Lytechinus pictus: one gene and its partner. The protein of the gene in region 2 purifies or fractionates together with the protein of the main gene of each other region. This does not show direct contact. Links are inferred from orthologs where the notes say so. Each region holds a gene or a part of one and is shown on either strand. Other genes may lie near its edges. The genes, in order: telomerase reverse transcriptase-like and PIN2/TERF1-interacting telomerase inhibitor 1-like.

Region 1 (16,532 bases), on a different chromosome or scaffold from region 2:
GTAAACTTTTCTTTGTAAAATCATGAAATCTTTGCTCAAAATCGATAATTCTGATGATCACTAACACAGAAAAGCACATGTGGGACATATTAATATTGCTTTGAAAAATACCTTGACATTTGATGGAAATCTGTGCTTATTTTGCTCATTTCTCAGCAATTCCGCATTTTCTTCCACAGCTATTTATACATACATACACAACTGGTATTTATCTTTAAATAAAATAAATTTCACCAGAAGTTCATAATACTGAATTTTCTATTAGAAGAAGATATTAAAGAAAAGGGGTATGATTTCATTATGTCTGCACTATTTCAACACTGTTGATTTAAAATTCACTTCTAACCAAGTACATAATTGATTTCTTTCTAGTAACTGAATTCAACACTATGTCTTACTCAAATAACCACAGAACTATTTTACTTACAGAAGAAAAACCGTTGAGAATAACATTCTTTCCAGATCGTCCTTGGCGCTGGAGTCTCTACAAAATTAAAAATATAAAGAGAAAATCAATTACTCAAGAAATCATTCTATGTAGTAGTGAAAGAATTCATTCTCACTATCATTTGGGTAACACCATTCCTGGAAATTTTCTTAAATACATTAAGCTCAACACTTCCACTGTATTCAAGCAATATCAGTTTTGGACGTACGATAATAGAAAACTAGAATAAAACTGACCAAATATAAATTGTTCTGCCTATTACAGTAAGACATAAACATGACTCATGTTAGACATGAACTCATGTCTAACAATTTGTTAATACCATGAATAAAATTGGACAGAGTACAATGTAATTGTAGGAAGTCACATAGACATCAATCAAGGTAGGTCGAACATGTTAACTTGCGAAGCGAGGCCAATCAGCAGACCTGCCAACCTCTGGGAATGAAAAATTGTATTCTGTGATTTAAAAAAATGTACTTTCCCCCCAAAAAGTGTATTTCATAATGAAATGCATGGCGCACTTGTTCATCGTGGCGCTCAAGCTGCTTGCAAGCTAAAATGCGCACAACCAGCTGCTCTGGCAGATGAAAAAACAACAACATTGAAACATGTGTATATCTCACCCTGGTTTTAACAAAATGATTGAAAAAAAAAAGTTACCTGAAATTACATTGATCTAATAACCATATTTGTGCAAGTTTTCTGAAATAGAGACATAAAGAGATGATTTTTCTCAATAAATTACGATTTTTTTTTTACAAAAACATATTTTTAAAGAAAAAACGTACTGCCGTATTTTGGTTGCATAAACGTACTAAATACGCCAAACGCGTACTGGTTGGCAGGTCTGAATCAGGACCCCAAATCGTCCTAACTAGTACATGACAGAATTCTGATTGTCTAAGTTTGACATTCAAACAGGAGAAAACACCATTAATATTGGTATGTACTACAGAAGAGAGGTCTGGGAATAACTTGATAGCACGGCATAGTAAAAAAAATGGCATCCTATCTAATATAATTCCTTCCGTATAAAGGCCCTGTCACATCATTCTGTGCAATTATTGTGGGTGATTTGCGGGCAATCACCCGCAACAAACTTTGAGCATAAAATTTTCAAAACTTTTGTGTGCAAATCAGACTTGCATGCGCTCCCGAGGGCAGATGCGTGCTTGATACGTGCGAGATACTGTCAATGTGGGCGACATGCGGGTAACAAAAAGAGTCACGCGCAAGGCTTGCACGGAACGATGTGACACGGCCATCAACATTTATACCTCCAGGGGGTATTTAACAAAGTGAAGTGTGAATAGAGTAATGCTTAAATGCTGATGCGCAAATTACATGTAACACGTAACTTATTAACCCTTAATGTGCCATGATCACATATCTGTGCATCCACTGGAGTGCGACGAACACATTTTCGTGCAATGGTCATACAGCTATTGTTATGCCTATTGAATTTTGAGGAGTACATTGCATGCATGAGTGATTCCATTGTTCAGTTCAGCTTATGGTCAAGAGGTTTAACATTATTTTCTTAGGAGTGATCCTTTTTTTATAAATAAAACAATTAAATATAGACTCTTTGAAAAAAAATATGGCCCTTGCTGATTACAGCGAATGGCACATTAAGAGTTAATACAGAGTAACGTGTGTCCTCTTAGTATGAGTTGACCAATGGGGAGATGACATTTATACCGCACGCAACTGCGACTTATGTCATAATTAAATCTTTGTGAAACATCCTCCCCCGGAACCAGGTGGACTGTCGGACTAACAGGGGTCTGTTTCATAACTCTAGCTCGACAAAATCTCTATAGAAAGCCAACCTACACAATACACTGCTTTAATAGACAAAATGCAGACACATTGAAATTTGCATGTGGAAAGGATATACATCTGTTCACAGAGGATTATTGTCAACTTGGCTTTCCGCAGAGACAGGATTTCTAAAGAAACGGGCCAAAGATTTAGAATTAAGAAGAAATGTACCACTTACTCTCATGACTCTGTTGATCACCTCCATATGATCAGAGTGTTGTGTATAATCCAGAGGACCTTTATAATTCAGATGACTGGATGGGATTCCTACCAGAGTTGAGTGAAGGAAGGCCTTGTATCTTTCATAGAGGAAGAACAGATGACAAACAAAAAAAAGATAAGAGGTTTTGTGGCTCAGCGGAAAACGCTCTGGACTTTGTACCACAAGGTACAAGGTTCAAGCCTACGTTTGTAACTCTCCAACCAGGTGGTTACCTAGTATTGAAGAAATTCTGTGAAAGCTCGAGCACCCCATGCCAAAACAGGGGGAATACATCTAGTATCCAGCGCTTCGTAGATTAGAAACATTGTATAAAAAGACCTGCCAACATTTGGAAATGAAAAAAAAAGAGAGTCCTAATCGCAGGAATTTTTGTGCTCGGTGTCATGTGTGTCTCCCACACTCTTTAAAAAAATTAAAACATGTTTAGCATTCTTATATTTAACTTTGAGAAATTTGAAGTGTTGAAAAAGTATATTACTCTTACAGCCTTACCCCACCACACAAATACACATGGTCGCATTTCATTAAGTGGTCCAATTTCGCGAACAGGGTAAAAATGGTCAAAAAAGTATTTTTGATATGTCATAGGTATTACCATTCTGTAAATAATGAAAAAAATATATATTTGAGTCTCAAATACCTTTATTTTTTCTTTAAATGACTCATTAATAGTTAATTATTACATAGACATCAATGTAAACTATATGAATTAAAAAAATATTTTTCTCAAATTGGACCTGCTGCACATAAAAGTATTTTGTAGTTTTAATCTTGTAACATCAATAATCAAATCTGTAACAAAAAGCGAATAATTATCTGTTATTGGACCTGCTGGTGGAGGATATGCGTCATGTATCTTGGCGAAGAACAAAAAGAAACAAGATGGTGACGTAAACATCGCGGCATGTTTTCCCCGGCTTTTCATATTTTTCTCGGTTTTTAAATGAATTCTTGTTTGAAAATGAAATCAATGTCATATAAATGTCGGAAATGAAGTTTTATCCCATTTTCATGATTTAGGGCTAGATAGAAGGAAAGAAGAAATGTCGGGGGCAAAAATTTCATTTTTTTTTTGCGGTACACGCACATGAATGGGACGCAATCCCTGGCTCCTTGGAGAGTTACTTAAGCACACGTTAGTAAATGATTTTTAGTCTCTACGAGGCTCCTGGCTAATCCTACTGCTTGGGAGATTTTTTTTTCTTTCTAATTGATGTCATTTTCAGTGAATCTGGTGAGGTTTGCAAAATGATGTTAAATCTTGAGAATCATCCCATACAGGCGTGGCCATGATGACAGGCCAGCATATAGGCCAACATGTAGGCAGAGAGAAGGGGGTACTAAACAGGGTACCATATGCCACCACTTTTCACACAAATTCTTTTGGGATATTTGCTCCAATAGACCAGTTCGTAGTTACTTCATGGACAATTTTGGTCAAATGACCATTCATTTCTTTCATAATGATAGGCAGATTTCAAAGCAAGATATTACAAATGCATGCCTTACATAGCAGGATGAAGAAATTGAATAGACCAGGTGACTAGAATAGCACATCAATGAACGAACACTCTATGAAGGTATTTGTTGCATTTCTACTTTGAATGCATATTTGGGGCATATTTAGAGGATGTTGTACAATGAACTTGGCAAACTTTGAAATATACCAGTCATTCGTGGACGCATTTTTGTGTGGATGGAAATGAAAAACACAATTCAAATGAATAATCTAGCCTTGAGGACTCCATGATAATATTTTTCAGTATTTTGACAAATATTTCTTCATCATGGAGCCTTGAAATTCTTTCCATACATTCATAAGCGGGACCTACACACCCGGATGGATTTCCCTAGGAAATCCATATTTACGGGGTGAAATCGGTTTATAAGTGTGAATTTTACTGATCTTTGAACCGTCAAATGCCTAATGCGTATGAAGGGATAAAAATTATTCCACTATGAATGGCAAAAATGAGAGGTTTCTTACCAGACCGATCTCGTGTAGATCCCTCAATCCGTTTGTCAACAAAGCAAATACAATAGGCCTGACCCTTGAACCGCTTCGTTATGACGTACCTTCGATTAGCGATGTTACAAAATGCCATTTTGAAGAACAATTTATAGATAAAAATTATTATTTAACAAATACTAAAATTTAAAATGTGATTATGAATTATTATTATTATTGTATTTGTGAAACATTGAACAAGTTTAAATTCCTTACCCAGCTTTGTCTTTGGGGATGTAGAGGGGTGGACATCCATCCAGAACTTGAAGAAAGTCTTCCAGACGAGAAACCTTGGGATAGATTCTTTCCAGGATATCCATGGTTGGTCGGGTGGAGTCAGAATCATTCAATTAATGAATCACCCAGTCTAAATAGAAGCAAAGCAATTAATGTGTTAATGTTGAGTGACTACTGGAGTTAGATGGCTAATTTCGGAGTTCAACTTCACAGGTGTAATCTTAACAAAATTAAATTTTGCCTCCGACGAAGATTCTGCTAGGATCGAAAGCTTAGGCCCCTTTTGACTTTCTAAAATTAAATTTTGTCGGCTTCCTGTAAAAAAGGGACTTAGGGATGATTTTCACAATTATTTTTTTCATTATACCCTTTTTAATTTGCTGATATTTTGAGTTTTACTTGTAATTCGAAATAATTTTTGCATCGCTGGATTGCCTAGGATGTAGGCCCCATCTTTCAATATTTGAATAAAAAATTAATTGTAAAAATTACCCCCAAGTCCCTTCTTGTGGGAAGCCCATGGGTAGGTCAACTCTCGCTATTGAACTTAAGGTTAGGGTGGAACTGCAAGAAGAGCATATGACACTCTTTTTTCATCTCCAACACACTCTGGACAATAAAAATAGCAATGAGTGTATCATAGTGGTGAATATACACTATGTATCCTCATTACATATACTCACAAATTCAGACCAATCACTAAGCATCTGATACTGTATGTATTACTAGTGTAGGATAGTTATTTTGGCATTTTCTTATTTGTTTATTTCTCCTATCATGCTATCTTTGCCACCACGCAGTTTTACATTTCTGTTCTGTCCAGACTTAAGTTCATTTACATTTCTGTCAGTACTGCCCTTGCAGTCTGAACTTAGGTTATGTAAGTTCATAATTATATTCAGTTGCCATCCATTCTTTCCACTCTGAATTCCTTTCCTCTCATTCTCTTTTGTCATCTTCATTCTTCTCTATTTAGGTGTTCTACTAATTCCTTTGTCAGTTGCGAAAGGAAGGCTGTATCTTAGCAACCATTTGACCATGGGGCAAAATATTTCGGAATTTTCCGTCAGACACTTGGGGGAACATTTGGTGTGAGTATAAAGAAAATCGGAGGGGTCGGGTGACAAACACTAGTTGATTTGACATGGATTGACATTTGACCCAGACATATTTGATGGGATAAACGGGAAACGAGGTGATCTAAACTGACTTTGGCTAGAAGTAAAACAAAGACAGAGGCTTAACAAGAAAAGACCATGCCTGGCTTGATCAGAAAAATAATATTAAAGATATAGATCTAACGTTAGACGTAAAAACATATACAAATCATGGCTGGGTGAGCGACAAAAATTAAGGAGAGTTAAGTAAGACTTAGGGGGTTCTAGGCCTAGATGTAGATCTGTTAGATCTAATTATGATGATAAAACATTAACAGAAGTCATAACTAGGCCGAACTACAACCATGGCATGAATGATAACTAGCAAAAACAGTCCTCATACTACCAATGTGCTATGGGTCTTCCTGGGTCCCCAAGTCTACGCACCTAACGACTTGAGTTTTTAATATGAATTTCTTTTTATTTCAATAAATCTTTTAAGTTAATAATGTTCCTTATATTATGAGTACGTAAGTGTACCAAATATCTCATAAAAAATTGAAAGAAATGGGGTCTATAGGATTGTCTTGGAAAAACCTCGGGCAGTCATTTTCAGATTGAAAAAAAAAATGGTATAGAGGTCTACCCAGTTGTTGTGTGTCAGGACTAGCCTTGAGGACAATTTATAGATAAAAATTATTGTTTCACAAATAGTAAAATCTAATACATAATTATTTATAATCAGGTAATAAATTTTGAAATTTGTGAAATATTTTTTTTCTATAAATTGTTCTTCAAAACGGCATCGCTATTCGGATGTACATGTACGTCATAAGGAAGCAGTTCAAGGGTCAGGTCTATTGACTTTGCTTTGTTGACAAACGGATCGAGGGATCTACAGGAGATCGGCCTGGTAAGAAACGTCTCATTTTTACCATTTATAGTGAAATAATTTTTATCCCTTTATACACTTTAGGCGCATGAAGGTTCATAGATAAATAAAATTCACCCCTACAAACCAATTTCACCCTCTAACTATGGATTTCCTAGGGAAATCCATCTGGACGTGTAGGTCTCGCTGCAGCGTCTATGGAAAGAGTGTCAAGGCTCCATGTAGAAGTACATGTCAAAATACATAAAAAAATATCAGACCTGGGAAGCGTTTCACTTGTCAGACGTTTTATCAAGTCCCATTTTATTTCCAACAGTTACCATAGTAATAGTGCCTCTCAGCCAATCAGAATCAATGAAAGATGTCAGATCTGACAACTTGTCAGACCAAAATGTTGATGAAACACTCCCCGGGAGTCCTCAAGGCTATGTCAGGACGATCAATTTTAGAAAGTCATAATTTGGAAAAATTTACAAGCAAAGTTTCATCAATTTTTAGTAGGATGGGGGGTTGGGTGTCCGGACACGTAACAGAAATGAAGCCTTGTTTTTATCTCAGGAATAAACCAAAAATATAGGTTGAATAGTTTTTTTTCACCATCAATATTTGTTCTTTATAATATTTTCTTATATTCTGTGCTAAAAAGAATTAAAGACATTGCTTGTAAACTTTTCAAAATTGAGAGTAAAAGTCATGTGTCCGGACACCCAACCCGTCCGGACACACAACCACTGGGTATACAAAATGGTAGCAATTATAGAGAACAAGATTAGAGAAGACAACTAGTATTATTGAATTCATAATATTTTAGTGTAATCCAAAGTAAAAAAAAAAAAAGGCTTAAAAAATAGTGTCCGGACACCCATCCCCCCCATGTCTGCGCACCCATTCACTTTGCACACGATTCAGGTATTTTGAAGAGAAACTAAAAAGTAAAGGCTGCATTATGACTTATGAGGCCATCAATATTATGATTCATATAAAATGCCCAAAATTCATTCTTTTTCCACCATTTTGTCTTTATAAATATCTGTCTTATGTGTTGCAAGCGTTTGTGTTCGTTGCATTTCTTCTTTTACAAGAATTGCGCAGACTTGTTGGGGGAACTAATTGCCATACCTCTTTAGTCTTGTGCATTTCGAATTACTGTATCACGGAATCGTGATGAATTGTATATGTACCGTACGTGTAATATTCGCATGCGTTGATGATAATGAGGTATCCTAACCTATATTTGTGGCCATTTACTCGTTTAGAGTTTACACTTTATTATATTTTAAAATGTTCCATTTCTGTTTCCAATTACGGCGGATTCGCGGCGGAGATGGTGGCATCACCTAGCATAATATTACTAGCCCTGGCGCTAGATCCTAAATATTTTTGGGTATTTCACCTCACCTGAAATTGCACCTTGATGATTGAGGTTGAACTGCATCAGTTGGTTCGCTGAAATCGCTTCACAAATATAATACGGCCGCATATTTGGGGTATTTGATTTACCCGCGGGATCATTCTTGGTTTCCCTTTTTGCAAGCCTTTGAGGCACTGGCGTAAATCCCGGGGGGGATGGGGGGGATATATCCCCCCCACTTTTCGAGGAGGGGGGGATGGCCTGTACAAACATCCCCCCCAGTTTTTACGAAAGAAATGAAAAAAAATCACAAGAGATAATTGTTTTATTGGTGAAAATTCTTCCTAAAATACCGCTTAACAAATAAAACAATATTATTGAATCATAAAATGACAATAAAGAGCCAGTTCACCATTTCCAAACGAAATACTTATGTCCTTATCATAACATTGAAGAGAAACCCCCGTTTCTTCCAATTCATCAATGTTGGGGTCTTTGGGAATTAGGGATTAAGATGGAATGTCAAAACATTTTGAATGTAATCTCTAATAAAACCATTAACCATCATGGGGTAAAAAAGATAATAATATTGGAGGGTATTTGCCATATGGACATACAGTGGCGTAACTACGCGGGGGGCATGGGGGGCACACCCCCCCCCCCGGCCCCCCCCCCCCATCGGCTGACCAAATAAAAAACGGGGAAAGTGGGAAAAGGAGACAATAGGGAGAAAGGAAGAGAAGCAAAGTGGGAAAGAAGAAGATATTATTCATTATAATGTTATATTACATTATAATTATGTTATGTTACATTATATATACATAAGAAACATTTTTATCATAACTTTATGAAACATAATTTGCCCAGGGCCTACGTCTTCATTGTTCCTGGTGCTCGCATTGTCTGTTTAACGAGATATATAATCCTGTTGTACTAAAACATCTCGTTTTCAAGTCAATATAAACCAAATATATTTCCTAGCACTTGAGTTATCGTTGTTTTACGTAGTTACATATGCTTCTTTTTCATGACTCAAAAAGTGATTGCCTCATGTTAAGGTCTTCGTATATATGAAACATTTCCTGTCCGTGATTACGTTCGCATTAGTGGATTGGTGAGATATGTCTGCTCTTCATGAATTCCTAAAATCAGTCCATAAAATGTCCCTTCTTCTGATCTGAATATCAAAAATTTTCAGCTCGCGCTTCGCGCTCGCATCATTTGGTTAATGAAATACGTATGGTCCTAGTTAATTCCTACAAAGAAACCTTAGATTGCCCCACTTCAGGTCTGAATTATCTAAGTTTTCAGCTCGCGCTTCGCGCTCGCATTGTTTAGCGAGACAGGTTCCTATCATGATTACACAAATTTGATTATAATGTCCCTTTTTAGGTGTGAATATAACAAAATTTCAGCTCGCGCTTCGCGCTCGCATTATTTGATTAGTGAGATACATATCCGTTTAATGACATTGTCTTTAAAATTTCTCTATTAGGTCAGTATAACTGGCAACTGCGCGCGCTTAGCGCACTCACTCAGTGATTCAAAAATGTTGCTGGTGCCCCCCCCCCTCCCCCAATGCCGTGACCCACGGTACGCCACTGTGGACATATCAATGACAATTCCTTGCATATCTAAAAACATGATTGCAAAAAATTCCAAAATATTTCAGTCATCCCCCCCACCCATCAACACGGATTTACGCCAGTGCTTTGAGGCTTTTTGGGATACCATTTTCTTTCATTATTTTTTTTTCAAATCTCATCTTAATGTTTCATGATTATATTTGTATATTTATGTTTAAAATAATGTATGATATTTGTATGTTTTTACATGTATATACATGTATTATTGAAATAAATAAATGAGAGTATTTCCACTCTCCCTCAATACAATAGTATTGAGTTTTTCTCTGTACTCTTTTTCCAGGATGCATCAAACATTTTGCCATATTTTTTTCTAGATATCATCATGCGGCAAATGAGATCTTATGTGGTTTCTTATAATCAAGTATATCTTCAACTTATAATGATTTTCAATCAACACGCTGGATTCATTTGTTGATAGACTTTTCTAAAGTTTTTAAATCCGAATAATAAATCTGAATAATACGAGCCAGCTTAACCGTTTGCTTGTGTCATCATTTTCTATATTCTTTAAAAAGAAAGCAGGTCATTGCAATGCAATGAAACGCACGCAGTTATCACACAGGTAGATTAAAAGACGTTACAAAACAATGAAAAAAAAAATAATGCTTTTTCATGAAAAATAAAGAATGGGCGATCTATATATAGCTTTTGTCTCGCCTGCATAGTAGAGCGAGACTATAGGCGCCGCTTTTTCGACGGCGGCGGCTGCGTCGATGGGCGTGCAAACAGTGGGAGAGGGGGGCAGAAAAAATCACGACCAAGAAGAAAAAGAGAAAAGGTAAGGGATAATGGTGAACAATTTATCACAAAACTTGGATTTTTGTAATAAAAATGTCGATTTTTTTTTCTCACTCGCTTAGATCGCTCGCAATTTATTATCAATTTTACGCGATACGCCATTTCGAGCCCCCTGAAAATATTTGGCTCATTACGCCACTGGCCAACATTGACATCTTAACCAACTTACTTATTTTTTTAAATGTCATCATGTCTTACGAAGTATATGGACCCAGTTCAAGAAGCAATTGGACTTAACGGTAGGACTAATCAAGTATTCCGAAACATCCTGCCTGAATTTCAGGTCACATGATCAAGGTCAAAGGTCATTTAGGGTCAATGAACCTAGGCCATGTGGGAATCAACACCGAAATCTTAACGAATGTTTATTTTTTTAATGTCATCATAACTGTAGAAGTTTAAGGATCTGGTTCGTGAAATCTGGTCATAAGAGTAATCGAGTATTGTCAAACATCCTGTGACCTGTGCATGTTTCAGGTCACATGATCAAACTCAAAGGTCATTTAGGGTCAAATAACTTTAACCATGTTGGGGTATGTGCTAAATTTCATCATAACTTTGAATGTTTATAGATTTAGTTCATGAAAATTAATTAGACAAGGGTAATTATGTATCATTGAACATCCTGCATGAATTTAAGGTCACATAAATTTAGGGTCAATGAACATAGTATTTCATTATCATATGGATGTTATTTTTTGTGAATAATTATTCAATGGTTGTTTTTCAAAGTCAGCACTGCTGCTATATTGAATCGCATAACGTATGTAACGGATGTAAAGTTGATAAAGTATTATCAAACATCCCCTCTGCAAGTTTCACGTCACATGATCAAGGTCAAAGGTCATTTAGGGTCAAAGAACTTTAACCTGTTGGGGTATTTGCTGAATTTCATCTTAACTTTGAAAGTTTATAGATTTAGTTCATGAAAATTAATTGGACATAAGGGTAATCATGTATCTTTGAACATCCTGTATGAGTTTCAGGTCACATAAATTTAGGGTCAATTAACATAGTATTTCATTATCATATGGATGTTATTTTTTGTGAATAATTATTCAATAGTTGTTTTTTCAAAGTCAGCACTGCTGCTATATTGAATCGCGTAACGTAGGCGAGACTGCCAGAGGCGTTCCACTATTGTTATTTAAAAGAGCAAAAGGTTGAGACTATATTAGTGTACTACTGTACATAAAAAATAATGTTGATAATTTACTTTTATCTGATTTTATTTGATTTGGTTAGTTTAATATTTTAAACAATTGATATGATATTAACCATGACAATATTGATTAGTAAATCAAACCGAAATACTGCCTTTGTATAGAAGGTCGTGCAATGCTTTGGAAACAAGATTACATCCAATTATGTGCCTTTTTTTTTAAAAAGTGAATATTTCCATCATGGGAAAGCCTAAAACGAGAGACCTTTTATCTACTGCTCGAGATGATCCATTACCATTGTATCTAAATTCCCGACAGACGACGTTTCCTTGTACGCAGCAGAAAACCAAAAGCTCCATTCCAGGTTAAGACCTATTCCTAATGGGGAAGAAGGCAATTAACTCAATTTTCAGATTTCGCTCCTCAGTGACTTAAAGAGCTTGTATAAATACGTCAGAATGAAAAACAGTTTTTTATTGTGTGACGTCCAACACATCGCAACGTGCAGTTCTCTAGATTGTAAAGACAGTGTTCTATTAAATCTTATAACCTAAACGTGCCAGCAAGATATGAAATAATCATCTTTGGAAGCCGACATCGTTTTAGCGAAAGATGACATGACGAGTTAATTCTTGGATCGCATCTCATGGTGGTATCCCTTCGAAGAGATGATCAGTGTGATGAGATATGGGATGTCGTCATGTTTAGATGAAATGATCAGATGACGGGATCTATTCCGTGGAAGCGCCGTGGTGTAGCGGTTCTGACTCTCGCCTTGTAATCAGAGGGTCGTGAGTTCGAATCCCGCCATGGCCTAGCGTCCTTTGGCAAGGCGTCAATCCACAATTTGCCACTCTCCACCCAGGTGTTAAATGGGTACCCGGTAGGATGCGAAAGCCGATGTAGTATGCCTAGCAATTGAGTCTTAGAACTCTTGTTGGAATGCTCCCCAGGGAGTGGAGAAGGTGCATACATTGTATGCGGGCATGCAAGGATCCGATGACCGGGGTAATAATATATCTGTAAAGCGCTTAGAGACGTCGTTCCGATGTGTTAAACGCTATATAAATGCGGAATATTATTATTATTATTATTCCAAATCATGGAAGACAAAACAGATAAGATATTAACTGATGATGATGATGATTATTACTATTATAGTTACTATTATTATTGTTTTTTTTTCAATTATTTCATTATTATTATTTATTATTATTTTTTTGTTATAGTTCTTTGGGTCTGATATGTTGTGATCATAAAATAATAATAAGTGGCCCATGAATGTGTTGACAGGAAGTGAGTTCCAGAGCTGAGCTGTCCTTGACAAGACAGTGTTTTACTTTGGGACAGTGACTCTTTAGGGATGGGCAGCTGCAGTAGAGCGTGTCAAACTGACATTGGGGGCCAAGGGGGGGGGGGTTCCATGCAGACAACTCATCGGATGGTTTCAGGAAGAAGTGACGGTAGAAGGTACATGTTCAGAGAGATGCAACATTTATCCGGTGCTCAAGTGGATAAAGGCAAACCTTGGTTTGTCTTCAATTCTCTAGAGGCGGATCGCTTTCCGCTGCCTATCAAGAAGTGCGAGTACAGCTGCTCTAGCCTGTAGTTCGATGCATATATACAGCTGTTCCATTTCTTGGGCTCATCTACAACATGGGCAGTTTTCCACTCTGAATGTGTGGTTTTTCTGCTCAAGGACAACTGGTATAGCTTTGAAAGAACTGGTGCAAGCTCAAGTGCACAGTTCTTAAGTACGGTGGCTGATGCCATCTGGACCAGTTGCCTTGGATATGTCAAGATTTCGTAGTTTCTTGAGGATAACCTTAGGCCAGAAGCTGATGGTAGAGACAGATTCACCAGTTTTCAACTTCAGCTTATAGGAGAAACTTGGCCCTTATCATCAAGATGCGCATTTGCAGTGAAGGTGCTGCATAAGGAGCTCAACTTTGTAACATCTGCACGGCCATTGTCATCTTTCGGTGGAGGGACAGCAGATGACTTGTTGCTTGCAGTTACATATTTGACCAGTTTCCACCACTGCTTATTGCTGGCATGCTTAATTGAGTTCCTGCTCTAGGTTTTGTGAGAACTATACGTGCTCTGCATAATTATGGTACGCTGACATCTAGATTTAGATTCCATAATAATAGGAGCCAAAGATGACTTGTATGGCTCTTTTGCCAGTTTGTAAGCCTTCTGTTTGGATAACAGTGTCATGACATCTGCCATTGAACCATATGGCTTATCCGAGTACGTGTGTTCGATAGTCCTGGATGGTAGTGAATTAAAACGTCCATTGCATCTCCAATGTTTTCTTTCTAACTGTTCTAGGCGATATCAGCACTATCAGCATTATGTGACTTTCAAAGGGAGGACCAGTCAGCTTGAAACAGGAACGAGCGCAGACTATCCCAGTCAGCTTTCTCGTACAGCCAGTTTTGCTTGTAGTTAGCTACATACATATCACAAATCGATCAGAAGAGCCAAGGGGATTATCAACCGATACCACGTGAATGCCAGGAGAAGTAGTTATAGAAAGAGGTCCAGTTTGGAAAAGTTTATTTGCCTCATCGTGGTACACTTTAGAAGAAATTATCATAATTATACTTATTAGAAGTATTATCATTAATATTATTACCATTATTATAGTTATTTTACCCCTCTTTTCCTTTTAATAGGTTATTGCTTGCAGTGAACTAAAGTTGTGTTTCATGATATCATCTGTAACCGTGGTGACAGCCCCACGTGTAATCGAATCGATTCGAACAAGATATTGTTGTAAGATGTGTGTACAGTGACCATCGCTTCAATTTGCATGTTATTGTACACCCCCGCCATGATGATAATCAGTCGAGAAGTCAAGGTGCTGGAGGTGGACGCCTCTTCTCGAATTAACGATGGAGATAATGGGGTGGATCATTACAAGACCACTCGCGGCTATCTGCATCATTTATGAACCCAAAAATATGATACGCACTTGGTTTTGGCAACAGAGGGGATCTGTTGCACTCTTGGGAAATGTTCTTTTACATATGGCGGAATTTAAATATAGGGCAGGTCTTATAGGGCATTTCCTTATCCATTTTCATCCTGTTTTCCGTTGTGGTCATACCTCGCTCTTTGAATCTATTTTCCTTTCTATTCTCTTTTCTTCGTTTTCTTTTTTTTTCCTTCTTGTTGTCAACCTATGTGCTCATCTGTTGATTAGCCGACCACACGACTTTCAAGATCTCCCATTAAAAAAAATTCAATCAAAATACATATTCCTTCTGGCCACGATATAAAGAATCAAATATTGTCGACATAATTACTAAACCATCATTCTAATAACTTTGGATACGTGCGTCACCAGATTATTATGACTGCTTTATTCTATTTTGAGAAGCGGGAATCCATTTAAAAAAGGGACATTAGTAAAGCATGTAAGGAAAGAATCGAGTTCTTTCAAGGAAATAAACTTCCCGCCATTGTGACACCGTCGCCCTACAACTACTGCTACTATATAGCTACTACTAATTCTACTACTATTACTATTACTACTACTACTGCTAATATACGACAAATACTACTACTACTACTACTACTACTACTACTACTACTACTACTACTACTACTACTATTACTACTATAATACTACTACTACTACTCCGAATACTACGAATACTACTACTACTATACTACTACTACTACTACTACTACTACTACTACTACTACTACTACTGTACTACAACAACACCAATAACTACTACTACTACTACTACTACTACTGCTGCTACTACTACTACTACTACTACTACTACTACTACTACTTCAACTACTACTACTACTACTACTGCTACCACTACTACAACTACTTCAACTACTAATATTACTAGTATTACTAGCTACTACTAACTACGACTACTACTACTACTACTATACTACTACTACTACTACTACTACTACCACTACTACTACTACTGCTAATTCTGCTACTCTACTACTACTACTACTACTACTACTACTACTACTACTACTACGGTGATGATGATGATGATGATAATAATAATAATGATAATAACAATGATAAAAATAATGATATTGTACAGTGCAATAACAATTATGATAATACTGATAACAATAATAACATTGATAATAATTCTATTTTACTGATGCATCATTATTACATTTCCGTAAAAAGCCAATTTTCTTAAAAAGCCATTGTCCCTATAAAAACCAACTTCTGTTTTGGACTTTGTAATCGCTATCACTCTGTATACACGCATGAAGTATTTGATAGATGTAAGTTAAAGGTAGCTCCCACATAACATTATTTTGATATAAGTTGACGATTAATTTACTGTTCTATTTAATTGTATAATTTAGGAAATACGTTGCAATCCGTGTATCCAAAATGAGTCTTTATTTTGAATTAGGTATGGAACTCGCCCTTTGCTAAAAAAAACAAACAAAATGAAAATAGAAACGAAAAAAAAAACGCGATCACATGGACAGGGAAGACTGCTTAAAACAAAATAATCAAAACGGATAGAGGACAGTGACACAGAGTTTCCCTGTAGTTCAATTGCGAGTCATGATTGGAAATCAAAATGGCTGATTGTCAAAGTTCTCCTGTACGGATCATGGCTTGGATCATGCCACGAACAATCTCAACCGCTTTATGCAAGTGTCTTGTAGCGTAGATACTCAAAACATTGGCAACTCTAGCTAACTACTCTTAGGAAGAAGAACTAGTACAAGTTGGAAGTAGCAGACATGGCATAAAATGATAACGAATAATAAAATAAAGGAAAATAAACTAAAAGGAAGTAGAAATGACAAGAAACTAGGAAGAAA
Region 2 (16,565 bases):
GCTGGAATTGTGCCACTCACACGTATTAAGTATACTAACCTCGCACCACGAACCGCGTTTGTCAGTGGATTTCTAACTAGTGGGTCGCGCGTGCTTAGCCTGGAGGCGTCTGGGATCTCACTTCTTGGGTCCACAACACACGACTTCTATGGCTTGATTTTTCTGTGCGTGGCGGCATGTAATGAACCCTTGGGCACTCCTAGTACCAATGAGGTCCAACATTACATGTATGGACCTCATAGGCGACATCAGTAGTATTTTTGGTTAGAAATCTCTGAGAACAGGATATTTATATATTATATCACAAGTACAAGCTATATTCCTTTCTCTTATTTAAATTATAATTTTATAGTGTAAATGCATCGTTAGCAACAACAAAAAATTAAAGAAATGAAGGGGAACTTACATTTTCAGGGCTTTTTCCTGATTTTCTGGGCAGCTGCTCTTCTCTTCTGACTCTCGATCGAAGCTGATATGAAGATCACGTGATTCGCGTTCTCGTCAGCTGATCGGTTGGTTATTCTTTTCGTCAGACGTTAATAATATATATTTTATAATGCTAGCATTCATCGCTAATTTAGGTGAAAGAGATTGAAGTTAAACAGCGCCAGGTCGGAATCATAATTATTTTGGAAGAGTGTATTTATACACTCGATCTCATACCTGACGTAGACGGCGCTATTCAACAAATGCACAATCTTCAATATAAAAAATAAAACAGAAAGAACGCCTTGAACACAGGCCAAAATGCCTAACGATTTCTCCGCGGCATTAACAACTATCGTAAAGGGCGCTCCATTTATCAATAAAGATGGATGCTAAGCTGTCTATGGCGACAAAATTTGCCGCAAATATTTACGAAGAATTGTGAGAAATGGTCTGAAAATGCAACAAAAGAACCGGTGAGTACCGATTAAACATTATCAATTTATTTAATAGAACATATTTAATGACTACAATGTAACAATTTCTAGATAATATTGCTTAGTTCTAAGCTAGGGCGGCCCAAATGCGCGTGAGTGGAGTCCCAGTTTATTAGCACGGGTAAGTATTGGGGTGTCGCCTAGAGTGCCCTTGGGTGGAATTGTGCAAAAACATTATTTCTAAAATAAAAACTTTTTAATTTTAATAGTAGTTATGCCAAAATGCATGATTCTAAACTTATATCAGATCTGTATCTGTCATCTGACCTGAATGCATCGTCAGAACAAGTACAGTTTCCAAACATGCTTACCTTGACTTTTGACTGGATCAAACAGCGTAGCCTGCAACATGCATCGGGAGCAAGTGAATGGGACCGTGCAGCTTGGAGTTTTTCAATAGTTAGTAGAGCAACACAACGAAGACTGTCGAGTGGACAAAATCGATCTTTCCAGTTCACAATTCAATAAAAAACGGGCAAAATAACACAGTTCTGGTTCCCTTATAGTCTGAAGTTGTCGAAAACAGAATTCGGATGTCACATTACATGAAGAAAACGGTAAATTCGGAAGATATTGAAGAGGTCAGTAAGGTGATTCAGTGTATTATGCACAGAGGGATGATGAGCTCGATGATTGTGTGACGTCATTATTCTCGACTGTTTTCACTGCGTGAACTGTCGGTCTGGGGGCGGCTGGGGGGCTTAGAATGGTCTCTAATAATTTCATTTCTTGCATTTCCACGACATCAATAAGACTTTTTAGTGACATATTTGTGTATAAAAAGACAAGACCTTTCCATTCATATATAATTTGTCTATAATCATCACTTTCGTGAATTTTCTTTGGATGTATACTTTAAGTGAAGGGGGTATTTATTTCTATTTAATGCCAATTTTATTTTTTCAAATTCATTTTCTTTTAATTTATTTTTAATCTTATTCAAAACTATTTCTGAATTGTTTTCTCTACCACTGAAAACCAAATACTTCACAAGGATTATAAAGTGATTATAACCAATTTTTCTTTTCCTTGATCTGCTAATTTTATCCCCAAAATATGTCTTCCCAAGTAAGATTGGTGAAAGAAACAAAGTCAAAAATATTCTCGCAGTCTCTCCATATTAATTTTGCTTTTTCGCACTTGAAAAAATAAATGACGATAAGTCTCTTCTTCTTTTTTACAGTAGCTACACAGATTAGAATAAACTTTCCCAAATGCATATGCTGATTTGTATAAATGATTCCGTGTATGAATTTAAATTGGAACTCTCTAAGTCGGCTGTTTAATGTACATTGCCTTGGTCTTTTAAAAATATTTTCTAGTGTCTTTATCTGAAAGACGGTAGTTACACTTTAGTCTTGTGAATACTCCAGGTGTTATTGCTTTCTGGTAAAGAAATGTTGTATAAAGTTTTTTTGATGCAATATCATTTATTGCTACAACATTTTTACCTAATAAAAAAACTATGTCAGGATCATCAGGAATTCTCGCTACCCCAAATAGCGATTTCGCCGAGATCCGGGAAAATCCCTGTAACGTGCATTGCATTATGGGATAGCTTTTTCGGTATTACAACTTCCTGTTCGGAAGTCCAACGCACTGCATTTGCCATTTAGATCAACAGTGCCGTCATGCACAACAACACAACGTAGCTTTCGCTCGGAAAGTTCGTGATCACAACCCTCTCTTTCACTAACAGTTTTACAGCCTTTTCTGCTAAAGTCACTAATTCTGCCTGACGCTTTCCATTGCATGGTATTCATCTGTCAGTTAAGATTTTTTTTAAGTTCCGAAACTGATTTTTATCCATTTTGTGGTCGACGAAAAATTGAACGAAATGAATGCTGAATATATTTAGTGTCTAGTTGAATACGATCGTGATGTCAGGCCGGTCGCTAAATGCAAAATTTTAAGATATTCATTATTTGTTAGATTTTTTTATAACCAAATAAAAGCATGAATAAAAATTATTCTTACGTGAAATATATTTTTTATTTTTATTTATAATTCAAATGGAATCAAAACTGACCAAATGTAATAAAAAGTATTATACTCTGTACATATTACGCTGATTGGCATCGATTTCAGCGTGGTGGAAAACTCAGTATCGCGAACCTCGCGCGGGCATGACTCTAAACCGGAAGTGGTGATGACGACCCGACGGGGTGAAAATTATCTCGTCTCGCGCATTATGAGATTTTTGTTCCTATTTGGGGTAGCGAGAATTGTGTCTCTATCTGTTCTCATATTCCTCTTCCAGCTGACCGGAAGTGTACCATAGATCTTATTGCCAATCAATTCAATGTCATTGGATTCTAATCCTCGTCGTTTTAAGTATCCATGAGATCTTAAATTTCCGTCACTATCCATTATGTGGTTCAATCTATATATATTTTTTTTCAATCTATATATTTTTTGTCAAAAAGCTTTCTGTCAAATATACACTTTCCGTTAACTCGTATGAATTTATTATTAAACATTATTTCATTTCCTTTGTAAGGTTCATATTTCTGCTAGAAATTCCTCGTTTCTATCCACACTTCCAGAAGATCTGTATAGAACTTTGGCAATGTTAAATTCAAAAGGTCAAGTAAATAGTCACAAGAAAAAAATGAAACTTCCGCCTACATGTTGTGTAGCGCGATTAAAATATAACTTCCATTTCATTTCGTTATTTTCCATAAGTTTTTTGACCCACATAACTCTCTGTGCTTTTATTAACAGTTCAAAATTCATCATTTTCAGACCTCCCAAATGGTAATCCAGATACATCGTATTTCTATTAATTTTATTTCTTCCACCCCACAGGAACTCAAAGGTTATCTTTTCTAACTCCTCATAAACCCATTTTGGAACTGGCATGAGGGCCGCTGTGTATGTGAATTTTGAATATATAAATATCTTTAGTAACTGTATTTTACCCATCAACGTCAAATCCCTCTGTTTCCACCAACCTAAAAGTTTTTTTGTTTTACTTAATATTTCTTTGTAATTCAAATTTTCTTTTACTTCATTGTTCGAAGAAAAAAACACCCCTAATATCTTAACAAAATCCACTCTCTGGCCGAAAGGTATTTCATAAGATTTTCCTTGTAAAGCCCCAATCAAGAGAACTTTTGTTTCATCCTTATTAACACCAAATCCTGAAATATTTCCAAATTCTCTAATAAACCTTTGACTTTTCTAATTGAATCTTCATCTTGAACAAAAAGGGTCATATCATCTGCATACATGATTTTTTTATTTCCTCCTTTCCAAACAAAATACCTTTAACCTCCCTATTGTATCTTACATTATGTGTCAGTATTTCTAAACATAAAATAAACAGGCATGGGGATAGGGGATCCCCTGCCTTACGCCTCTACGTACATCAAAATATCCCGTTGACATTCCTCCATTAAAAATACAACTTAATAAGTTTTTGTACAAAATTTCCACCCATCTGCAAAACTGTGGACCGAAGTTATAAAAATGTAATATTTTATTAAGAAAATCATGGGACACCGAATCAAAAGCCTTTTGAAAGTCAATTGCTATCATATACCCTATGGTAAGTCATTTTTTGTCGCATGGAATATTACGTCGTATATTATTCTGATTGCTTCTCCAATAGTTCTCCCGTTCATGAAACCTATTTGATCTACTGAACTAATGTCTTCTAAAACATCTTTTAATCTTGTTGCCAAGACTTTAGATAGAATTTTATAATCAATATTTAATAATGATATTGGCCTGTAATTCTTAAGTAAATGAGGGTCCTTCCCATCTTTGGCAATCAGAATGACCACAGCTTGTTTTTGTGATGCAGTTAGTTCTCCTGTTTCAAATGCCTTGTTAAATGCCCCTAGTAAAATATCTTTTATTTCTGTCCAGAATGTAGTAAAAAACCCTTCGGTCAGTCCGTCATTCCATGATGATTTATTTTGTTTCATTCCTTTAAGGACTGTAAAACATTCTTCTTCATAAACTTTCCCTTCACAATTTGTTTTGCTTTCATATGACAATGACGGTAAGTTTTTGAAAAAATCTATATTAGATACACTATCTTCTAAAACCTTGATGGTAATTCGCGATAAATTGATAAAATATGAGAATCTAATAAATAACACACCTATATATAAAAAGTACCGCATATCAAAGAGAGATCGAAATGCACGGAGAAGATAAACCCAGCTAGCACAAAAATATTATAAAAATATTATAACATTAATATATTATATATTATAGGTAAATGATATGAAAACATTTTTAGAATGTCAAAATATATGGTTATATCTATGTATGGTTATGGCAACACGGCTGTCTCTAATTGTCATATAGACTATATGTCATGAAAATGGCAACACGGCTCTCTCTACTATATGAATTAAAATTATGTCATGAAAATGGCAACACTGCTGACAACTGATTAAGTGCATTAATTTATCAATTGCTGGAACTTATTTTCATCAAATGGAGACGCATCATTTACACATGGATGAAAAATTATAGAAGCAATTATGATTTCAAGTAATAAGAAAACGAAAAGTTGGGATGTGACATCATATCCGCAGCCCACATAATAAATAGGACTATTTATCATGTTTATGACGAAGTGCATATCACTATATTGCTAAATTTTAAAATTCAATAACTTCATTATTTGTTATCCGATTCTGATGAAACAGCATTTTGCTCTAGGCTGTGAATTTTACTCTACTTATTTAGATATATCTTCAGCCGGGAGCATCCTTTCATGTTATATTGACTATAACTGCCATGCAAATTGAAACGCGGTTATAATAATGAATTTGAGATATTAGTATCTTCAACTGTAATTATTATATAGGCAGTCTCTTCACGGTAATTCTATACTTTGCAAACCCAAAGTCATTACAATAAGTATTTCTAGTAACAAAAGAGGGATTACTTTTAGCAGAAAACCAATTAGCACTTCAAGGACTATAGTACATTCAGCTTTATATCCTGCTTTGGGGTAGGAATTAACAATAGATAATCCTGGTTGAAAGCCATCAATTGACTACTTAAAGGACAAGTCCACTTAAAAAAATAGTGTATAAAGCAATTAGAGACATCTGCGTTGCCATTTTCATGACATATAGTTTATATGACAATTAGAGACAGCCGTGTTGCCATTTTCATGACATAATTATAGTTTATATGACAATTAGAGACAGCCGTGTTGCCATTTTCATGACATATAGTTTATATGACAATTAGAGACAGCCGTGTTGCCATTTTCATGACATATAGTTTATATGACAATTAGAGACAGCCGTGTTGCCATTTTCTTGACATATAGTGTATAAAGCATTTAGAGACAGCCGTGTTGCCATTTTCATGACATATAGTTTATATGACAATTAGAGACAGCCGTGTTGCCATTTTCATGACATATAGTTTATATGACAATTAGAGACAGTCGTGTTGCCATTTTCATGACATATAGTTTATATGACAATTAGAGACAGCCGTGTTGCCATTTTCATGACATATAGTTTATATGACAATTAGAGACAGCCGTGTTGCCATTTTCTTGACATATAGTTTATATGACAATTAGAGACAGCCGTGTTGCCATTTTCTTGACATATAGTTTATATGACAATTAGAGACAGCCGTGTTGCCATTTTCTTGACATATAGTGTATAAAGCATTTAGAGACAGCCGTGTTGCCATTTTCATGACATATTCATAAATTATTAACAGGTTATGCAAACTTTTGTAGATGTCTAAATGTGCTTAAAATAAAATCTTGTTTTGCAATGGCTTTATGAAATTATTAAATGTATTTGAAATTCTATTACAATATTTAGGGCCTACTATAACACTTTTTGCCTTGTATATTAAAAATTATCATGATGAAAATATTTTTACAAAATTAAATAATCCTATCTACCCTACCCTAAAATTAAAATGTTTCGTTTTTCTAACTCTTAGTGCATTGAATCTTCCACCAAGTAAAAAAATAATTGTAATTGATGTTGTTGATATGTTTTCAAATTTCAACTCCACGTATGGTATGCTGCAGAACTCGCGCTCGCGTCCCTTGAATTGAATTTGGTACTCTAATGGTGGTAATTGCACTGTTCCATTTTCGAAAAACGACTGGTCTCGCATCTAACTTCGTACGCGCGGGTTCATAGATCCTCCGTTGTTCACGATATCGTCAACATTAAATAGATCTACATGTGTTTTAACCATAGAGATTAGTATACATCTCTATGATTTTAACCCATAAATCATCTGTAATAATAAATTCGCACGAATCTATATTACTCATTAGTCGTAAACGAACGATACCGAGCGTACGGCCACGTAGCCCACATAGCCTGCACGTAACACACACACTATCGGACTTCCTTAATTGACCAATCAGAGAATGGCTAACGTGCTGTCTTTAACGGGACGTGCTCGCTAGCGTGCAGCCACCATTAGGGGACTTGCAATGCAAAATCCCCCGTCGGGGCTCTTCAATTTTTGTCTTTAATGAAAAAAAATTTTGAAAATTAACGCGACCAAAATGCAAATTAATATTCCCTCTTGGCATTAATTGCCAAAAAACGGAGAAAAATCAAGTTAAAAGGAACAAAAACAGTGACTTACCTCGGCTGTCGCGCAAATTCACTTCCCCGTTTTATCCGATCTTAAGTACATAAACATATGGCCATTGAGTCCCCTGTACAGATCGCGCTAGAACTTCGGTCTCTGTATTTGGTGAGTGAAGCCAACGGAGTTCAGCTGAACAACCAACATAATAGAGACCGAAGCTTTTGGTCTATGTATCCTATTGCCGGACACCTTTATTTCAGTGCTTTAAAAATGACCACTAGAGGAAATACAATCAAGAAAAAATCGCACTTGCTATTCCAAATATTATGAAAATTATGAATATGGTAAAATTATTTTATATTTACCAACCATTTTCTTTGCATCGCACTTGCCGCATACCCCTCCACGAAAAACAGTTATTTTCGTGCGTGACAAATTACATCATCAGACAGTAGAGGCGCACGGCCAATATGGGAGACTCTCTCCAATAGGGGAGACAATCTCCCACATTGGAGACTTGCTTTGCAAAAGGACAAAAGAAACAACACCAACAAAAGTATGATTTTTTCCACCCAAAATTTTGTCTCACTGAGGTCAGAAGCCCATTTGTTTTGTGTGTGATTGACAACAAAATCCCTTATCAAAATAAAAGTAGACGGTGAATTTTTAAAGTAGACGGTGAAAAGGGGTAATTTTTCATGAGGAATCTGCTTATCACATTTTTATTTGCCGCCAAGGTAATCCTTTTGCAGCAAATGTAAACAAAGGAAATTGGACTCCAAAACTGGAGACTGTCTCTGAAATTGGATACCCAAATTCTTTACAAAAGTCTCTGATATTGGAGATAATCTCCCACATTGGAGACAGTCTCCAATATTGGCCGTGCGCCTCTACTGATCATGATTCCGGACGCGCGCCGGACGGGTAAAGATATTCTTGATTATAATGATGTAAGAACAAATTTGTGTGATTTTTTCTTCTTATATAATATCATGAGTAAATTCTAAGTTTTTGTTTGCTGTTTTTATATCGATTCTGAGCAGATGTTGGTAATAAATTCGTGTTTGATAACTTATTTTATTTTTTCTTGTTAGCTGCATGTTTCATGGAACTTTCCAATATTATGCTCGTTCGTATCGTGACGCTCATCAAGTTCTATCGATGCGCTGCCGATCGTCGACGGCTCTATACTCACGGTGCTCACGGTAAACCTCGCGCACGGGTACCTTGAGAACTAGCCGTCGACGATCACCCACAATACACCACACCTCATCATTCGATCGAAGGAGCGGACGAGATTAATTGAAATTCGGCAGATCAGACCCATATTTCCGTTAGAAAATATATCAATTGTTAATGCAAAACTATGTTATTTGATATTTTAAGCATTTTCTGTCATTTTAGAGATAAATAAGGTAAAAGTTGGATTTTTTTCGCCTTGTTTTTGCAATCCTGTTCTATGTATTGCTCTGTGAAATTGAATTGCGGAAGTCTTACGGTACAAAATTGTTTTCGAATGCAGTAATATGCGCGTCCGGTAATACAATACGTGACTATACATGTAAATACGATAAAATGCGTGTATGTGAACTCGGCTAAGCAGCAGGTAAGCTCCGCTGCCTTCGCGGTGCTGCGTTGGCGGAGCTGAGGCCAAGGCTTGGGCTTGAGCTCAGAGTCAGAGCTCTACATTACATCCCGGAGGGGGCAGTCAAATATAATTGCTGTACACATGCGTGACAAAAAGAAACCGCGTGGAAAAGTGGTGTTTTTTCAGTTTTGGACGTGGGCCGCGCGTGCACTCTTATAAAAAACACAGATTTTCAAGAAAAAGGTAGCCATGCCACTATTATAACCCAGCCCCAGGGAGCCCAGGGGCTTACCGTGTATTTGACCATAGTCACCGGACTAGGGTGATTTATGGTCTAAATATTTCTCCAAATGAATTGTGAAAACAGAAAGTATACAATTAGGCCTACCACGATTATATTGATGAAGGTCTAACGAGTGGCAGTTTCCTGACATCTGCCTGGGCACAGACTGGAACCTCAAAAAACGAAAAGTTCTCTCCTTCTTCCCTGTCTCGATCGGCCATTTTTGTTAAAAATCGTAACAAAATGGCCGATCGAGACTGGGTAGAAGGAGAGAACTTTTCGTTTTTTTGAGGTTCCAGTCTGTGCCCAGATGTCAGGAAACTGCCACTCGTTAGACCTTCATCCATATAATCGTGGTAATTGTATACTTTCTGTTTTCACAATTCATTTAGAGAAATATTTAGACCATAAATCACCCTAGTCCGGTGACTATGGTCAAATACACGGTAAGCCCCTGGGCTCCCGCCCGCGCAGCAGGCGGGAGCTCCCTGGGTTAGTAATAATAGTATTGCCAGCCCATGCAGGCCAGGCAGGAGGAGGCTTTAGAGTTTAGTTCTAGAGAGTAAAAAAAAATTATTTACTAACCTATGCTTACTCTCAACGAAGGTCGAAGCCAGGAATTCCTTCCCATTCATACATGTATCTGCACGTACCGCCCCAACACCTGAAACTTCCCCCCCCCCCAAGATTTCTACTTCTAGAAAAAAGATCTAGCCCTATCATGTACATGGGGTACAACTTCATTTCCGACATTTCTACGCTATCGATTTTATTTTTAAACAAGAATTCATAAAAAAAATGAGAAAAATATGAAAAGACGGAAGAGAATTGCCCAATGTTTACGCCGCCATCTTGTTTCCATGTACAAACATCTTAAAATCAGCAAACTGGATCTGAATACAGAGGTTTAAGCGTGTATGCAAGAGCAGCCACAAGTATCCATTTAAATTACATAAGGACGGTTTCCAATCCTTTTCTTAGGTTTGAATAATTTTTCTAAATGTTTATCTCTCTCTCTCTCCCCTCAATATATCTTTCCCTTTCTCCCCTCCCACTTCTCACCCCACCCCAACCCCCACTCCAAATCTATCTTTGTCCCCTCCCACTTCCCACCCCCACCCTAACCCCTTCTCCCAATATATCTATCCCTCTTTATCTTTCTCCCTTAATTCCCACTTCTTAACATCCCCACCCAACCCCTCTCCCAATCTATCCTTCTTTCTTTTCCCCTCCCATTTCTCTGCACCCAACCCCTCTCCCAATCTTTATCTTTCTCTCTTTTCTCCTCTCTCCCACTTCTCCCCAACCCTACCCCAACCCCTTCTCCCAATCAATCTTTCTTTCTTTCTCTTTCTCCCTTCACACATCTTCCCACCCCACCCTAACCCCATCTCCCAATCTCTTTCTTCCCCTCTCCCACTTCTCTCCACCCCGCTCTTTCCCCCCACCCCCTACTCTCTCTCCATCTCTCTTTATGTTCTGTTCATTCAGATTCCTCCAAGTTTGGTCAGAAGTTGATGGAGAAGATGGGTTGGTCAAAGGGCAAAGGTCTTGGGATCAAAGAGGATGGAAACGTCTCACACGTCAAAGTTTCTCTCAAGAATAACAACTTAGGTGAGTTTGCACTGGCCAGTAGAGGAGAGGGGGTGGTGGGGGGGGGGGAGGGGGGGGGGGGGTATTCAGCTATAATGCTTTACACATGTGTGACCAGGAAAACGAAGTTAATAAATCTAAAAATCATATTAGAAATATATGTCGTGTTAAGGACCTGTGCATTTGTACAACACTATATCATCATCATCATTTTCATTATCATCATAACGTTCATCACTAGCATCATCATTATCATCATCATCATCATCATTAAGATCGTCATAATCATCATTGCCATCATCATTGTCATCATCATCATCACCACCCTTATTATTAACACCATCGTCATCATCATTTCCATCATCATCGTCATCATCATTTCCATCATCATCGTCATCATCATCTTCATCATCATCATTACCACCATCATCATCTTCAGCATTATCATCATCGTCATCACCATCATCATCATCACTATCATCACCATGATCATCATCATCATCTTCATCATCATGATAATGATTACCATCATCATCATCATCGTCGTCATCAATATAATCATCATCACCATCTTTCTTATCAACACCATCATCATCATTATCATCACCATCTTCATCATCATCATAATCATTATCTCCAGATATTTTTCTAATTGAGCAAACCTTAGATATTGTGAAGTGAATATGGATTGAATTGACTTTCATCATCGTTACAAATGATATTTCAAATTTGATAGGGATTGGATGCAAGGCTAGCCAAGAAGACAATTGGATCGCTCATCAAGACGATTTCAACGACCTTCTCAGCTCCCTCAACGAGGGACATGCGCCCTCTACGTCAAACGAAAGAGAAGCCTTGAGCTTGGAAGAACGCTCCAAGAAGTCTCGCAGCAGAGTCCAGTGAGTAACATCTGACCAAGAAGAAAAATTACATCAGGCTCGCGGCGATTCCAGAAAATCCCCTTTCATTTCAATGATGAAACGATAAAACTGGCAGTCAAGTGGAAATATTTATTTCTATATTAAATTCTCCTCATATATAGCCGATATTCGGTGATATCATGTATTGATGAAAATTATTTCTTTCCAAGTACCCTGACACACTGAGGGATATTTTTCTGTTCGAATAGCTGATCATCACTTTGCAGCTTCAGGAACATCTCTACTGTTCAAAACCCCATCAGTTATCGAACTGTCAGCCACTGACAGTTTTAAAATTCCTTAGATCTACAGAAATAAATTTCACATTTTCACAATTAGCTGAGCTATCTAGCTGTAAATAGTGGCGTGGATCAGCTGCTGCACTTATTGCTATGGGAAGTGCGTGTCCCAGGAAAATCACCCTGGATGTATCAATATCTTGGAGTATTGGCTATATCCGATTAGGATTTATAATATATATGTTTGATTCTATTGTGTTATGATCTTCAACAACTATAACTTTGTTTTACTATTCTGTAATACATGTATGTTATCTTTGTAAATTTACATGGATTGAAAAGGAAGACCTTCAGGTTATAGTTATTTTGTTATTTTTCTTTTCACGGCTTCCATGTGACTCTCCTTATCCTATTGTTTGTATATGTTGTTTATGTCTGATTATACCAAATGAAATAATAATGATAATAATGATATTAATAATAGTAATATTGATAATAATAATAATAATAATAACAATACTACTACTACTACTACTACTAATAATAATAATAATACTACTACTAATAATAATAATGATACTACTACTACTACTACTACTACTTCTACTACTACTACTACTAATAATAATAATAATAATAATAATGCTAATAATAATGATAATAATAACAATAATACCACTACTACTTGTGATGTTCACTTCTACTTGCAAGAAATTCATGTGGGGGAAAGATATCAATACAATCAGTTTAATGAAGTGTCTCTGTTTCTGTATATGCTATCATTTTAAAAATATTTCTAAATGTATGATATTTATTTTAGTTACAAGAAATTCACACAAGGCAAGGATATGAGTCGCTATGGAGAGGACGGTATGAACAGCATCCTGGGACGCCGCCTCACAAGTTCTGCTCCGGTTACACCTCAAACACAATCGGTAAGTTGGACACAGAGGCCCGTATTCTGCAGTTGGGTTTGATTTAAACTCTGGTTTAAAGTTGTGGTTTAACTATGGACAGCCAATAGTTGCGTAAATCTCTAACAATATAGCATGAATGTATCAGCTCATTTTTTGGTCAAATCATTCTTAACTGTTTCGGAAAGATAAATAAGATAACTTTCTTCACCATTCACGAGTTGGGAGAGAGCACAGTAAGCATAAGAAACAGGCAATGTAAGGACAATTTTTACATGTTTGGCTTCCATAATTTTCGCACAGAGTTAGACCATGGTCTAAGTTAAACCTGACTTCAGAATACGGGCCAGAATGTTCAAACTTACAAAGATGGATTTGAATCCATGGTCGCAAAAATCAAGGTCATTTTTCTGTTTCTGTCATGAAAATGGAAAAACAGAATTTTCCTTTGTCATTTCATTTTTTAAAAATACAAAAACAAAAAATGCAGCATGGTTTCAGCTCTCTGAAATCACAGAGCTTAAGCAGTGCTTTTGTGTTTTCAAAAATGAAATGACAAAGGAAATTCTGTTTTTCCTGCATGGCAGAAACAGAAAAAACAACTTATTCATATGTACCTTGAATTGTAAACCATGATAAATCCAGATTTCATGTACTAATTTCATTAATGGGTTCAAGTATGCCACGTAGCCAAAAGCAAGTAAGTCACCTATTCATACTTTAAAGGGGAATCCAACCCAAATAAAAACTTGTTTTTAGAGGAAAAAAGAAAAATCAGACAAGTTGATAGGTGAAAGTTTGAACAATATCGGACAATAAATAAGAAAGTTATGATTTTTTAAAAGTTGTAAATATTGGTAATCACTATACCCATGGAGACTTCAAATTGGCCGCATATGGGATGTCATAGTGATGTAAGGCAAGGACTACTCTTCCATGTACTCCAATACATATTATGGCTAAAATGTAATTTTTTTCAAAAAGTCATACTTCAAATTATATTTTTCTTTCATGAGGACATAAAACAATATACTACCTGGGTTATATTTAAATTATTGCCCCAGGGGAATGGGTATTTAGGAGAAAACCACAAATCCCTGATAATTAAGTACATGGCCTATGAGAATGTTGTCCTTGCCCCTTGTCATAATTTATTACCCAGTTGCCAATTTGAAATCTACATAGTCCTAGGGATCGCAAGTTTAAAGTAGCCGTAACTTTCTTATCGCTTGTCCGATTTCTTTCAAATATTCACCATTCTGTTTTCTTTATTTTTTCTCCTTTCCAACTCAACATTTATAACCGAGGCTGGGTTCCCCTTTAATTCTATGCAATCTACCTACTACGCACATTTAGGGTGCAGTATTCTGGAGGCATCATTTTACCTCCTAGTCTGCAAGCACAGACTCAGATGTGACACTTTAACAAATTCCCATGTCTAAGAGTGAAGACGAGACTCAAAACTCTCTGGCCCGTATTTTGAAGTCAGGTTTAACTTAGACCCTGGTTTAAAGTTGTGGTTTAACTATGGAGAGCCAATTGACGCACAAATTCCTAACAGTACACATTCAATTTATTAACTCATATGACATCCAAATTTTTCATAATTGTCTGGGAATGATAACTGAAGTATATTTCTTCCTTATGAAAGCAAAAGGAAACCAAATTGTAAACATTAGAAATATACAATATAAACAGAATTTTTGAACTTTTGGCTTCCCATAATTTTAGCACAGAGTTAGACCGTGGTCTAAGTTAAACCTGACTTCAGAATATGGGCCTTTATCTTTAGTAGAGGCTGCCGACTGCAGTACATTGTGAATCTAGTCTCACTACTTTAGACTCTTCATTATGCATTATGCAAATTGCAAAAACCAAAGGTCTTTGACTGCAGACTACATTTTATCCCTAGTGTGTAAAACCTGAGATGACATCTAGAAGGGCTTATTTCCAGTTTGTCTAATGCCAATTCGTCCAATTGCCAACTCGTCTACTATCATCTGGTCTACCATCGGTTCGTCCACTCACCACATGGTCTACTTTCTTTTAGTCTAATGCCATTCCGTCTGATAACCAGTTGGTCCAATAGTCATTTAGTCCATATACCATTTGGGTCTAATTGGACTAAAGTGTCAATTGTGCAAAATGAATGAAAATGAAACGGATATTAGACCAACTGGTTATGAGACGGACTGGTCATGGACAAAATGGTGATTAGACGAAGTGATGATTGGATCAAATGGTTAATGGACCAATTGGTTGTTAGATGAAATGTTGATGGATGGAATGGCATTAGACTAAATGGAAGTAGACCATGTGGTGGGTGGACGAGTTGGCAGTAGATGAATTGGCAGTTTACCTCTAGAAGGCCATGCCAAGGATTCTGATGTACATATTGGATACACTTGTGATGTCATAAGGAAGCATACCGTATGTGGACTCGCAATTTTGATCAATACTTATATTAAAAGATTCTAGCATTTGATGTTTGCGAACATTGTGTGCAGATTTCAGTCATGAATCCAGGGTTCGAATTAATTTTAGGGCATCCAAGATCATGACCTCAGATGCCCTCAGAATGGCAGTGACGCCCTTTCAAATATTTGTAAACTTAAGGCCAAAATACAAGCATATAAGTGCCCCTTCTGCCTCTGACCCTAATGTTTTTCATTGTTTTTTCAATGAAATTTGTTTGGGACTCTTCTGAGATCATAAACAGCATAAAATAAATACATTTGGACCAGCAAAACTAAAAATAATAATACTTTAAGAAGGACTGGTGATCCTTTCTTATGGCGAATGGTATATTCATTAGCGATGGTTTTGCGCGTAAGAAAGGATCACCAGTCGCTCTTAACTTACGAACAGCTTTACGAAACACCCACCCGGTGCCCTAAAGTAATCCAGTGCATGTGTCCTATTGAAAATGGCCTTAGATCCCCCCTAGAGTAAGCACTGCCTACCATTCATATAAGTGCCCTTATAGATAATGGCCTTGTCCTTTGAATTCTTATATCGAGCCCTGTGAATCAATGGCCCGAATTCACAAAGGTGGTTTTGAAAACCCACAGTTGAATCCCTGGTTTATGCAGATTTTCTGTATAAATTGCGTTTAATTTATCGTGTATCGGGCGCGTGTATTAAAAATGTCCAATGCTAATGCGCGCTTTTGTCATAGTGCGCCAATTGACGCCTGTTACCATTGTTAGATACACTATTTTATACATGAGTCCACTGTTTTAAGAGTGGACTCATTAATTCAAAACAGTGGACTCATGAATAAAATAACGTAGATAACCATGGCAACAGGCGTCAATTTGGCGCACTGTGACAAAAGCGCGCATGATCATTGGACATTTTTTAATATACGCGGTAAATTAAGCGTAATTTATACTGGAAATCTGCATAAACCATGGACTCAATCTTGGGTTTTCAAAACCACCTTTGTGAATTCAGGCCAAAATTTTTATTAAAAACATGTAAGGTGTCATTCATATTTTATCTCCATGCCTCACAGGTAGAGAACTCGGACAACGAAGAAGAGAAAGAGAAG

The links.
Region 1: the proteins of PIN2/TERF1-interacting telomerase inhibitor 1-like (region 2) and telomerase reverse transcriptase-like purify together in Homo sapiens (co-immunoprecipitation; 3 studies listed by BioGRID and IntAct, with this or other methods). This does not show direct contact. The link is inferred for Lytechinus pictus from reciprocal best matches to the Homo sapiens genes PINX1 and TERT.

What each region holds. Positions count from the first base shown.
Region 1 is NC_087260.1:22,794,318-22,810,849, reverse strand, and holds the start of telomerase reverse transcriptase-like, read right to left. Parts: upstream 8,373-16,532; 5' UTR 8,131-8,372; intron 4,874-8,130; 5' UTR 4,827-4,873; coding exon 4,723-4,826; intron 2,575-4,722; coding exon 2,454-2,574; intron 485-2,453; coding exon 428-484; intron 1-427. UniProt on the Homo sapiens protein: Telomerase is a ribonucleoprotein enzyme essential for the replication of chromosome termini in most eukaryotes. Active in progenitor and cancer cells. Inactive, or very low activity, in normal somatic cells.
Region 2 is NC_087250.1:7,508,917-7,525,481, reverse strand, and holds the start of PIN2/TERF1-interacting telomerase inhibitor 1-like, read left to right. Parts: upstream 1-9,027; 5' UTR 9,028-9,081; intron 9,082-10,837; 5' UTR 10,838-10,863; coding exon 10,864-10,960; intron 10,961-11,675; coding exon 11,676-11,838; intron 11,839-12,918; coding exon 12,919-13,033; intron 13,034-16,529; coding exon 16,530-16,565. UniProt on the Homo sapiens protein: Microtubule-binding protein essential for faithful chromosome segregation. Mediates TRF1 and TERT accumulation in nucleolus and enhances TRF1 binding to telomeres. Inhibits telomerase activity. May inhibit cell proliferation and act as tumor suppressor.